Linked DNA regions of Callithrix jacchus. The main gene of each other region encodes a partner of the protein of the gene in region 3 in a complex. Links are inferred from orthologs where the notes say so. Each region holds a gene or a part of one and is shown on either strand. Other genes may lie near its edges.

Region 1 (4,069 bases), on a different chromosome or scaffold from region 3:
AAGGTTCTGAGGTTGTACGCTGAAAGACACATTCTGAGAAGTGGACGTTTGTGGTTCTGTGCTCTCTTGCGGCAGCAAATTTCCCCAAGCACCTAAAGTGCCTGTCGGGTTCCCGTTCTGGTTGCCCATATTTTGACCTATGGCACTGACTGGACTGCAAATACTGGAAGGGCTGCCTGTTGCCACGGTTCCTTCATGTCCAAGTACAGGCCAGGCAGCTGGGTTGGCATTAGGATTAAGGTTAAGATTAATGCCAGCATTGGAGTTGGAAGCACCCCAGCAATTCTGACTTCTCCCATCTCCAATCATGGTGTCCATTTTTCCATCCCCACCACTGATAGAGCAGTGAGCCAGGCCAGAGCTGGAGCCTGTGGCTACACCCCACACTCTGGCTGCACTTCCATTACTGTTCGCTCCTCCTGCTCCAAGGGCACTCTGATTAGAAGGGCTTTGGACGAGTGCGCCATTGGTGCCATTATTGCCATTTGTCTTCTTGGTATGTCCAGTGAAGTTGCCCTGGGCACTCCCTGTAGCCATGCTACTGTTCTCTGAGCCACAGTTGGAGGCAGAGTCAGTGTCTGTAGTACATTCTGAGGCAGATTCAGTCTCTGTTCCTGTGATGGAAGGCCACGCCTCCTTGTCAGTCCTATCTATTATCACTTTATCCCAGCTGCAGTTGGCTTCACTTCTGTAAGTAGGCTGCTGTCCCCAGTGGGAATTTTCATAATGATCTGCCAATCCACTATGACTGAGATCTGAAAAAGATGAAACAAAATTCAAAATTAGATTTTCTACCCATTTGTCAATGAATCAACTGTTAACTAGTCTTTGGGGAAGCTCTTTATTTCAAGTCTTCAAATCTGAATGACAAACACTAAAAAAACGACTTAAAGAAAAAAGCTAAATAGCTTCTTCCATTTTAAAAAAGCGTTAATGTTTCTAAAATTGTATCAATTCCGACCACTACACCATACTATTATTCCCCTTGGAGAATACTCACAATGCACATTAGCACATAAGGATCTCTGAAAGCATCTGTAGGAAAGGCAGCTCTGAAAGACACGTGACTTTGAAACTCCTGTAAACAGAGACTGCGACACACTGGCAATGACAGTAAGTTCATATGGAGTTTTGAACAGAACTTGTAGTTCTCTTTAAGACCTCTAATTACAGTATTATATAGAGGAAGAACATGGCTTTCAGCAGAAACAAACTGTAAATTGCCTTGCAGAAATCATAACAGAACCAATATTTGGGGTGGGGGAAGAGGTGACGGAAGGAAAGGGAGACAAGACATATGAGACAATGCTCTCTTATGTTTATCAAGAATACTAAGGATTAGAAATGTTTAATTAGATTTATGCTACTTTATCTGATCTTATCTACAATTTAGTTTATTGTTGTCTCCTGTGCATTAATTAAAAAAATCTGCAACTCAAGGACATGGCTAAAAAAAAAGAAAAAAGAAGAAAGAAAAAGAATCTCAGCCCTATAGGTGGTATCTTTTGGGTCTCCAAGGATTCCATCTATCCTTGTTTTCTATTTCTTTAGAGCCTTTTCTTTGGAGATTCCTAGAATAACTTTATATGCTATCTTCTTATAGTATTTATATAACTCTTTGGGTCCTTTTAAAGAATCCACTGTTTGGGATCTGCATATTATTTCCTATGACTTTAATAATTATTTGAGTACTTCCAACATTGCAATTAAACTTATATTCCAATCAACTTTTCGGCAGACTTTTAAAGTATCTATCAATCAGAAATAAAGTAAAAGAAATGTTAAAAAAATTTAACCCAAACAAACAACTCACATATATAATTTAGAAATCTCAGGTGAGTTTCTTTAAATACTACAATATACAATTAAATTGCAATAAAACATTTTCTTATCTTTTAGAATCTTTTAAATTAGGTTCTCTTCAAATTTATTTTAACAAGAAAAATATTATGGACAGTTAGAACATGAATTTGCCAAATAAATTCTCTTTTAAAGTTTGATAGAGCTAAAGGAAAAAGAGTATACATGTAAAAAATTATCATTATCATTAGAAAGACCATACTAAAGCTAATATCGACATAAGAGAGATTTTTATTGCCTGATTTAAGAGCAATGTAATGATTATGGAATGATGGTCTAGGTGATTCCAAGGTAGGTACAAAATTCCAGGTGAAAACTACAAAGGAAAATGAAGACAGGCAACAGCATTTTTTTTTTTTTTTTTGAGACAGAGTCTTGCTCTGTTGCCTGGGCTGGGGTGCAGTGGCCTAATCTCTGCTCACTACAACCTCTACCTCCTGGGTTCAAGAGATTCTCCTGCCTCAGCCTCCAGAGTAGCTGAGATTACAGGTGTATGCCACCACACCTGGTTAATTTTTTGTATTTTTAGTAGAGACAGGGTTTCACCATGTTAGGCAGGCTGGTCTGGAACTCCTGAGCTCAGGTGATCTGCCTGCACCGGCCTCCCAGCTGGGATTACAGGCGTGAGCTACTGTGCCCAGGCAACAGAAAACTTTAAGTATTGAAACTGTTAGAAAACCACTAAGTTCTTCTCACTGCCAAATATTAGGGGTTGGCTCTATAACCCTGGTTTATGACAATCTGGTTTCAAACATACTCTAAAAACTAATACAATAACTAACTAAAGAGATAAATGAGCCATTCCTCATTTAACATAGAAAATAAGACGAAGTTAACATACTAAGATTATGGCTTGTTGCCAGCAAATATTGCCACATTTCATTTTACCATCTGTTTGGTTGTGCCATAAAGCGGACTGCCTCCAGACTAGGACAGCACTCACTGCAACCCAGAAAGCAGGAGGTTAACAACCTGCCTGACCAATGTATTCTTTTCCATAAGTGAGGTGCCATTTGAATACACAGTACTGTTGGTTCCATTCCACAATAGTCACATTGTGAAAGAATCTGCCCTTTGTTCACGGTCTGCTTTGAGGACTTGAGGGTTGCTCAGCCCCCAGTTTGACAGGTTCACACTCAGTTATAATGACAGGTTTGAGAGAAGCAGAGCATTACAAGCTGGTGGCTAATAAATGCTGTGGGACAACAGTCTAGCCACATGAAATGAAAGTAGATCCCTTATATAATATACAAAAACACATTCTAGATAAAGATCTAATTAGGAAAAGCGAAACTTCTTAAAGCTTATGAAGGAAATATAGAAGACCATCTCTATGATCTTGGACACTGTATCTTCTTATAGAAGACATGAAATACATAAGACATAAACAGGTGATAAATTCAACTATGCTAACATTAAAAACATCTATATAACAAAAGATATCACATAATGGAAACTAAAAAACCAAGCCACAGGCCACAGGCAGGGAGAAGATACACAGACCACAGGCAGGGAACAGATAATGTATGGTTATCAGATTAAAGAATTCCTGGCTGGGCACTGTGGCTCTCACCTTACTGTAATCCCAGCACTTTGGGAGGCCGAGGGGTGGCTTTCTGGAGGTCAGGAGTTCGAGACCAGCCTGGCTGACATGGTGAAACCCCGTCTCAACTAAAAATACAAAAATTAACTGGGTGTGGTGGTGCATGCCTGTAACCCCAGCTACTCAGGAGGCTGAGGCAGGAGAATCACTTGAATCTGGGAGCTAGAGGTTGCAGTGAGCTGAGATCGCTCCACTGCACTCCAGCCTGGGTGACAGAGACTCCATCTCAAATGAAAAAAAAAAAATCCTAAAAATCAGTAAGAAAAAGGCCAACAACCCAACCAGAAATGGGAAAATGATAGGAATAGGCAATTTAGAAAAGAGAAAACTCATATAGCCATTAACATACATGAAACAATAGTCAACCTCATGAGCAATCAAGAAATGCACTTTAATGTCACATTGACATTATGAAAGTGACATAACACAACAATTTGTGAACTGTGGTTCCCTCTGTGGGTGGGATGGGGACACCTATAACATATCTAAAATAGAGAGCTCTGAAGCAAATATGACATCATATTATGTATCTCTACTGTGAATACAGTTATATTATTTTCTGTATAATTTCTATTTAAAAAATATTTTTAAAATTTTCAATTTTCA
Region 2 (4,069 bases), on a different chromosome or scaffold from region 3:
ACATGTTTGTGCACAAACTGATTGTGAGTTGTGGAATGCAAACAGAAGGGTTCGCCTGCAGAGAAGGGAAGATTTAGAGATGGTGGGAGATGAGGCTTGAAAGGTAAATTAGAGGACAGGCATGGTGGCTCACCCCTGTAATCCCAGCACTTTGAGAGGCTGAAGCAGGCAGATCATGAGCTCAAGAGATGGAGACCATCCTGGCCAACATGGTGAAACCCAGTCTTTACTAAAAATACAAAAATTAGCTGGGTGTGGTGACATGTGCCTGTAGTCCCAGCTACTTGGGAGGCTGAGGCAGAAGAATCACTTGAACCCGGAAGACAGCGGTTGCAATGAGCCAAGATCACATCACTGCATTCTAGCCTGGGTGACAGAGTGAGATTCCATCTCAAAAAAAAAAGAAAAAGGTAAATTAGGTGCAAGATCATGTGAGCAATGAGGAGCTGTATAAGATGGGCGGTGTGGATGTGACCACATTTGTCTTCTAGAAAAATGACATGACATCAGAATAGAAGATGCATTACACCAGGGCGCAACTGAATACTGGCTCTGCAAACAGTTCTAGGTCTCCAGTTACTACCTTTAAGCTTATTTTCTGACCCACTTTAATCATATGTGTACAACATAAAAATATTGCACACACTGCCGGGCGCAGTGGCTCAAACTCATCTCTATGAAAAATACAAAAAACTAGCTAGGAGTGGTGGCACGTGCCTGTAGTCCTAGCTACTTGGGAGGCTGAGGCAGGAGAATAGCTTGAACCCAGGAGGTGGAGGTTGCAGGGAGCCAAGATCGTGCTATTACACTCCAGCCCTGGGTAATAACAAGATCGAAACCCTGTCTCAAACGAACAGACAAAAAAAATTGCACACACATACAAACAAGTTCTATAAAGATAAGAGTAACTGAAAAAAAAAATCCTTTAATGTTCTAATACCATTTTAGTCATAAAACCATCTTTAAAAAACACCCAGCATCAACCCACACAGACAAAAAATAGCATCAGTGTATTTCTCTAGAGGCTCAAGTTCCAAGGATATACCAGATAGTGATGCAGTTTTGAGAGAAAACTTTAAAATACTTTTAACCTTGGGAGGGCTAAGACACAAAACAAAAAAACCCAAACCTGCTCAAAAAAGCAATCAGAGGCCATTAGTCCTTACCTCCCACATGGGTTTAATTCCTTCCTTGAAGAGATGGAAGTCACTGTGGCCTGTCAGGTCTCCAGGACGTACCATGTGGCTATAAAACCTCCAGAACTGCTCCACCTGCAGAGACAAGACCCCAGAGTAAAAAAGGTGTTGGTGTCTTTTCTTTTTCTTTGAATGCATCCAGAGACTGAGATTAAGTTAAGAACATAAGCATGGAAGACACTATACTACAGGCTGTCCTTTTCAGAGGACTCATTCTCATTTGTGGCATTCTGAGGGAAGACATGTTAGAGGAAAAGCCTACCAACTAGTTTGACAAAAGAAAACATGTAACATTGGCAATACAAGAATAAAATCTTTGGTGAGAAATGCTAGGCTCAGCCAGGACCTTCAGCTGGTGAAACCATGTCAATATGCACTTTCCCACTGAAGCTGCGGGGTAGTCATCACGTGCAGTAAGAAGACAGCTTTTTGCACAATGGAAACTCTTTAGCCTTGAGGTATATTAAGTGCCACACAGCCTCAGCAGGAATGCATTTTTTAGAACCAAATCACTTACTGATCAAAGATTGTTTAACTGGCAACACAGCATTTGCTGAGTGAAATATCTCTTAGAGCTGTTAGTTACTAAGCATAAGTGACAGAATCAAGCACGTATACCACACATACCACTCCACATCACGCTAAGACCGGGCCAATCCAAAATCACACAGGACTTAGCTTCTTATAGCTAGAGTTTAAGGCCTTCTTCTTAGCTAGAAAAAGGTTTCTCCTTGCCTCTCCTTCACAATCCTGTGAGAAAGCTAGATTTATATTTTCCTATCAAGTATATGCTTATTTGTATTCATCACAGTAGTCCCGTTTTGCTTATTAGTGTCATCCCCCCCCACTCTTTTTTTTTTTAAGATACAGGGTCTATACAGCAGTATGATCATAGCTTATTACAGCCTCTAACTCCTGATCTCAAGTGATACTCCTATCTCAGCCTCCCGAGTAGCTGGGACTACAGGCTCATTAGTGTTTTGATAGGAGAAATAACTTCCTTATTCACAGAGGATACCTACTAAGTACTGGCCAGTGAAGAGGTACACTTTAAGAGGAAAGAGAAAACATGGTGCAGTCTGATGAGAAATAGCTAGTATTTGCCAACCTGCTGAGGAGCTCGATATCAACATATAGCAAGATACCATAATTGTGGAGCTGACAATGGGTATTGAGTAGACAAGATTCAGGTCATACTTCTAGATCTGAGGAGCACCCAAGGAGAAATCAACCTTACACTGTGTGAAATGGCTGTCCCTTTAGTTCCTCTCTAGCACAAGAATATGTGACACATCTTACATGTTAAATAGAAGTCAGAAACTATAGGACTTCAAAGCAGTGCTTCATATCTCAGCAACTGCTAAGCTTAACTGCATGTAGTGATTTGGGATAGCAACTGGTCATATGAATACAATCAGCAATAATCTAAACCATTATCCACCCTAACATAGTTGCAGAAAAACCACATCTCTCCACTAGAACCAAGTACACCCACTAGTGGCTCACTGTGAATAAGGAACTGAAAGGGGCGTGGAAAGGAGAAAGTATACCAACCATTTCCAATTCCCCAGTCAACAATCACTTCAACACTTTAGTCTCCTCCAATCTTACAACTATACCACTACCTCCAAGGCTCAAGCAATCCTCTGGCCTCAGCCTCCCGAGTAGCCGAGACAAGTGGACACCACCATGCCCAGCTAATTTTTTACTTTTTTTTGGTAGAGATGAAGTTTAACCTGTTGCCCAGCTGGTCTTGAAGTCCTGGATTCAAGTGATCCTCCCTCTTTGGCCTCCCAAGGTTCTGGGACTATGCCTGGCCTAAGAAGTATTATTAAACTTTAAAAGATTTATTTGGATAGTTCTAACTGAAACCAAAAAATAAGCATTCAGACTCAGAATATGAGGTGTAGAAAGGACCTCAGAAATAATCTCAACAACTTTACTTATTTTATAGTTGAGAAAACAGTTACAAGAGTTGCTGTAACCCAGACAGTCAAGCACCAGAAGAGGTTAGCTCTGATGACCAAGTCCAGTGCTCTTTCCATTTCAAGATGATACCTTCCTAATCATGCTGACTTTAGTAACTTTTAAATGTTGTTAATTATTAGGCTAAGAATCACTGGGAAACGCTGCTTTGAATTCAATAAAAGGATTCATCATGTAATTATTTCTTTGTGATGAATTTAACATCGTGAGCCATTTCCTAATGAGGTCTGAATTACATGACAGACTGTATTTCTATTTTTCAGATCCAGACCTACAGAGTCAAAATGACAGACTTTAAATACTGTCACACATCCAGTGAGCAGTGATGAAGCCTTAACCCAAGACAGTCCTGATGATAAACCACTCCTTAACATATATGTCAAAAGGAAAGAAAAGAAAAACCCTCCTTGTATAAGCCAGGTATTCATATATGCTTTTTCACAAAAGGGAAATAAAATTGCAACCCACCTTTTTTTTTTGAGACAAGATCTCACTACGTTGCCCAGGCTAGTTTTGAACTCCTGACTTCAAGCGATCCTCCTTGGCCTCACAAAGTGCTGGCATTATAGGCATGAGCCACCAGGCCTGACCAAAATCTTTAAAATCAGTAGTAAACCTGTATCTTCCAAGGCAGTATTCCTCAAACTGGAATCAAATCCTTCTTTCCTCCAAACTCCAAGAGCACTCTACATGCTTTCCCATAGCACAACTTATTGTCTACCCTGTATTAGAAATTCTTGGGCACATCTTATTTCCCCAAGGACAGGATCTGTGCCTTTATTCCTTTTAGAAGCCTACTAGGGTCTGGAATTCATTCAACAAGTATTTCTTGAACCAAATATGAACCAGTGCACAAACTAGTTATATTATTTTAACAAAGCTGTTTG
Region 3 (4,069 bases):
GTTGGCTGTGACGGCCGTGGCCTGTGGAGGGGACCCAGCAGCATGTGGTGTCTTGGCCATCCCATCCCACTGCCAGGTCCCTGAAGAGCTGCAGGACAAGGAGTTTGCTGCGGTGCTGCAGGATGAGCCGCTGCAGCCCCTGGCCCTGGAGCCGCTGACTGAGGAGGAGCAGGTGGGGCCGGGCCAGGAGCTGAGGCCATGCGGGCCAGGAGGGGAGGTCATGGGTGGGGCTAGTAGAGGGGCCAGCGCTGGGGAGACAGGCCCGGAGGGTGCTGTGGGGTGGGAGAGGGGGTGGTGGGGTGTCTGGGTCCTCATTCCCGCCTCGGCTCCCTCCTCAGAGAAACTTCTCCCTGTCAGTGAACAGCGTGGCTGTGCTGAGGCTGATGGGGAAAGGGGCTGGGCCCCCCCTGGCTGGCACCTCCCGAGGCAGGGGCAGTACTCGGAGCCGAGGTAAAGGGGTGATGGTGTGTCCTGGGGGCGGGGAGATCCGGGCCCCCGGCTTCGAGGGTGTGCAGCAGGTTTCAACGTGTGTCTCACTCTTTCTCTAGGCCGTGGCCGCGGTGACAGCTGTTTTTACCAAAGAAGCATCGAAGAAGGTGATGGGACCTTTGGACGAAGCCCCCGGGAGATCCAGCGCAGCCAGAGCTGGGATGACAGGTGGGGCCAGGAGGGGGTTCGGTGCAGAGCAGGGCAGGCCATGGAGGGTTAACAGAGGCCACCAGATAAGCCCTGTCAGAGATCCCTCTGCTCCTGAGGACTCCTGATTTCCTATGTTCTCCCTCCTTCCCTCCCTCTGCTGCCTCAGGGCACAATGGACAAGGCGCACAGTGGTTGTGCAGGGTTGGGGGGAGGCTGTACTGTTTTTGACCCACACTTTTCCCTGCTGCAGAGGCGAGAGGCGCTTTGAGAAGTCAGCAAGGAGGGATGGAGGTATGAGGCTGCTGAGGGAAGCGGCCAGGGCAGGAGGGATGACCAAGATGGGTGGCCCAGTCGGGAGGGGTTTATTTCGGGAGGTGCTGGGGCAGGAGGGCCTGGAGCTGGCCCCCCATGTTTCCTAAGGGTCTTCCAGGCACTGCACTGTCTTTCTGATAACTGCTTCTCTCTCCCCGTTCTCCAGCACGATGTGGGTTTGAGGAGGGAGGGTCTGGCCCAAGGAAGGAGCATGCCCGCTCAGACAGCGAGAACTGGCGCTCCCTACGGGAGGAGCAGGAGGAGGAGGAGGAGGGCAGCTGGAGACTCGGGGCAGGGCCCCGGCGAGATGGTGACCGCTGGCGCTCCGCCAGCCCTGGTAAGCTTGGGGCCCGGTGGCTTTGGTGGGGGCTTTGGGGGCCAGGAACTGTCATGAAAGGGTGGACTCCTGTGGGGAGCGAGATAGGGAGCAAAGGCTGGCTGGTGTGGAGTGGCCTGGAGAGCAGTCCTGGAGGTTCGGGTAGTTCCTGGGACACCTGGTGAGCTGCAGGAGAGGGGCCGCCGGCTTCACTCGGGTACCCACTCTCCTCCAACTTTTCCTGCGCAGATGGTGGTCCCCGCTCTGCTGGCTGGCGGGAACATGGGGAACGGAGGCGCAAGTTTGAATTTGATTTGCGAGGGGATCGAGGAGGTTGTGGTGAAGAGGAGGGGCGGGGAGGGGGAGGCAGCTCTCACCTGCGGCGGTGCCGAGCGACCGACGGCTTTGAGGAGGACAAGGATGGGCTCCCAGAGTGGTGCCTGGATGATGAGGATGAAGAAATGGGCACCTTTGATGCCTCTGGGGCCTTCTTGCCTCTCAAGGTATCTGTGAAGAGCCGAGGGTGGGAACCGGCCCTTTGGGGTCCTCTTCCTCCCTGCCCACCCAGCTGTTCTCTGACCCCTCCCTACCCCATGCAGAAAGGCCCCAAGGAGCCCATTCCTGAGGAGCAGGAGCTAGACTTCCAGGGACTGGAGGAGGAGGAGGAGGAGCAGCCTTCCGAAGGCCTAGAAGAGGAAGGGTCTGAGGCGGGTGAGCCTTCAGGGCGGCCGTCGGGCCTGGGGCTGGGCTGGGCTAGGTGGGCATATGGGTTCTTTGCTAGGTTGGGCGCTGGCTGCCCACCTACCTTACCTGTAGGACCAGGCCAGGCTGCTTCGAATCGGAAGAAGAGTGCTGAGAGGTGGAGAGGAAGCAGGGGAGAGCAGAGCCCTGCCTTCAAGGCAGTGTGCCAGATAAAAATCAGGCATAATCAAAATGACCTTTGAACGTCCCTTGAAGGCCAGGCGTGAACGTTCACGCCTGTAATCCCAGCACCTTGGGAGGCTGAGGCGGGCGGATCACCTGAGGTCAGGAGTTCCGAGACCAGCCTGACCAATATGGTGAAACCCCAACTCTTGAAAAAGCTGTAGAACTTTGGGTGAGGTCTGCAGTGCTGTATGGTGTTGTGTGGCGTTGTGGTGTGTTCTGCCACATCTGGCAGCATAGAGGCGAGGGTCAGGGCACCGCATTCCCATTCCGCTACTGGTTGACTCCAGTGAAGTAGACTCGGCCAGGGGGCTGTGACTCTGTTCGAGCCACACTCGAGGGCTTGTGCTAACTCGTGTGGCAGGCCCAGCCCTTGTTTCTGAATTCTGGTCATCTCCATCTTCTAGGTGGGAAAGAGCTGACCTCACTGCCTCCTCAGGAGGAGAAGCCCAATTCCCCGTCCCCACTGCCCACCTTGGGCCCACTCTGGGGGACAAACGGGGATGGGGATGAAGCTGTGGAGAAAGACCCCACAGCGGCCGATGGTAGGAAGGGAGGATGGCTTACCTCCCGGGTACCCTGGGGCTGCACGAGAAGGCACTCCCCTCCCATGGGGGTAGGAACACAGGGCATTTACGTCAAGGAGCCATGGCAAGAGCATGGTGTTCTGGAGTAAGGGTGGGTGGGGGCTGTCTTGTCTCCTCCTGCCTTCCCTTCCACCTCCTGTTTTCACACCTTCCAGATGATATTCGGGGAATCCAGCTGAGTCCTGGGGTGGGCTCCCCTACTGGCCCACCCGGAGATCTGGAGGATGATGAAGGCTTGAAGCACCTGCAGCAGGTGTGGGGCTGAGAAAGCTGGAGGGACCCTTCCCACTGCTCCTGACCTTCCAAACTGCCTGGCTCTAGCTCCTTCTCTTCCCCATCCTGATCTTGCTGAGATTGGCAGCTGAACCTTGCTTCTCTTCCTGGGTTTCCAGGAGGCGGAGAAGCTGGTGGCCTCCCTGCAGGACAGCTCCTTGGAGGAGGAGCAGTTCACGGCTGCCATGCAGACCCAGGGCCTGCGCCACTCTGCAGCTGCCACTGCCCTCCCGCTCAGCCACGGAGCTGCCCGGAAGTGGTTCTACAAGGACCCGCAGGGCGAGATCCAAGGTACCTGTGTGGGGCAGGAGGACTGCTCAGGGCCGTTCTGGTTCAGGGTGTCTCTGGTGTACCCCTTAACCCCAGTGGTTCTCCCGATCCCTCGATCTCTGTCCAGGCCCCTTCACAACACAGGAGATGGCAGAGTGGTTCCAGGCCGGCTACTTCTCCATGTCGCTGCTGGTGAAGCGGGGCTGTGATGAGGGCTTCCAGCCACTGGGCGAGGTGATCAAAATGTGGGGCCGCGTGCCCTTCGCCCCAGGGCCCTCGCCACCCCCACTGCTGGTGAGCCACTTCTCCGCTGCATGAAGGGATGGGGTGTGGTGGGGGGGCGGACAGGAGCCCAGCGGAGCCCCCTCCTCCGTGCCTCAGGCACTGGCTCAGCTGTCGCCTGAGCAGGGCAACATGGACCAGGAGCGGCTGAAGAAGCAGCAGCAGGAGCTGGCCGCGGCGGCCTTATACCAGCAGCTGCAGCACCAGCAGTTTCTCCAGCTGGTCAGCAGGTATGGGGGCCCGGGGTGGGCTGGGGGAGGGCCAGGCACAGGCTCTGTGGCCCATCACCCCCGCTGTCCTGTTGGCAGCCGCCAGCTCCCGCAGTGCACGCTCCGGGAAAAGGCAGCTCTGGGGGACCTGACGCCACCGCAGCAGCAGCAACAGCAGCAGCAGCTCACGGCATTCCTGCAGCAGGCACTCAAACCCCCCAGGTGCGTGGCCATGCAAACTCAGGATACAGGGCAGG

What was found. The genes of interacting proteins can lie anywhere in the genome.
Region 1: the proteins of GIGYF1 (region 3) and TNRC6C are in contact, whole or in part, in a crystal structure (PDB 7RUQ), measured with the Homo sapiens proteins. The link is inferred for Callithrix jacchus from reciprocal best matches to the Homo sapiens genes GIGYF1 and TNRC6C. Residues at the interface, in NP_001362694.1 of Homo sapiens: Tyr479, Asp481, Pro482, Gln487, Phe490, Trp498, Tyr503, Phe504, Leu508; in NP_001136112.2 of Homo sapiens: Arg1719, Pro1720, Pro1721, Pro1722, Gly1723, Leu1724, Thr1725.
Region 2: the proteins of GIGYF1 (region 3) and EIF4E2 are in contact, whole or in part, in a crystal structure (PDB 5NVK), measured with the Homo sapiens proteins. The link is inferred for Callithrix jacchus from reciprocal best matches to the Homo sapiens genes GIGYF1 and EIF4E2. Residues at the interface, in NP_001362694.1 of Homo sapiens: Leu36, Ala37, Asp38, Tyr39, Arg40, Tyr41, Gly42, Arg43, Met46, Leu47, Leu49, Tyr50, Glu53, Asn54, Lys55, Val56, Pro57, Glu59, Leu60, Glu64, Phe65, Ala67, Val68, Leu69, Gln70, Asp71, Glu72, Pro73, Leu74, Gln75; in NP_004837.1 of Homo sapiens: His54, Pro55, Leu56, Gln57, Tyr64, Lys83, Gln84, Ile85, Gly86, Val91, Glu92, Trp95, Arg96, Phe97, Tyr98, Ser99, His100, Met101, Val102, Arg103, Leu107, Phe113, Ile137, Arg138, Leu139, Arg140, Gly142, Leu143, Ser145, Arg146.

What each region holds. Positions count from the first base shown.
Region 1 is NC_133506.1:133,834,598-133,838,666, reverse strand, and holds part of TNRC6C (trinucleotide repeat-containing gene 6C protein), read right to left. Parts: intron 756-4,069; coding exon 1-755. UniProt on the Homo sapiens protein: Plays a role in RNA-mediated gene silencing by micro-RNAs (miRNAs). Required for miRNA-dependent translational repression of complementary mRNAs by argonaute family proteins.
Region 2 is NC_133507.1:153,938,166-153,942,234, reverse strand, and holds part of EIF4E2 (eukaryotic translation initiation factor 4E type 2), read right to left. Parts: intron 1,272-4,069; coding exon 1,167-1,271; intron 1-1,166. UniProt on the Homo sapiens protein: Recognizes and binds the 7-methylguanosine-containing mRNA cap during an early step in the initiation. Acts as a repressor of translation initiation.
Region 3 is NC_133503.1:13,041,501-13,045,569, forward strand, and holds part of GIGYF1 (GRB10-interacting GYF protein 1), read left to right. Parts: intron 1-76; coding exon 77-172; intron 173-338; coding exon 339-450; intron 451-548; coding exon 549-657; intron 658-889; coding exon 890-930; intron 931-1,117; coding exon 1,118-1,288; intron 1,289-1,516; coding exon 1,517-1,770; intron 1,771-1,866; coding exon 1,867-1,978; intron 1,979-2,598; coding exon 2,599-2,736; intron 2,737-2,933; coding exon 2,934-3,031; intron 3,032-3,170; coding exon 3,171-3,342; intron 3,343-3,448; coding exon 3,449-3,615; intron 3,616-3,702; coding exon 3,703-3,833; intron 3,834-3,911; coding exon 3,912-4,034; intron 4,035-4,069. UniProt on the Homo sapiens protein: May act cooperatively with GRB10 to regulate tyrosine kinase receptor signaling. May increase IGF1 receptor phosphorylation under IGF1 stimulation as well as phosphorylation of IRS1 and SHC1.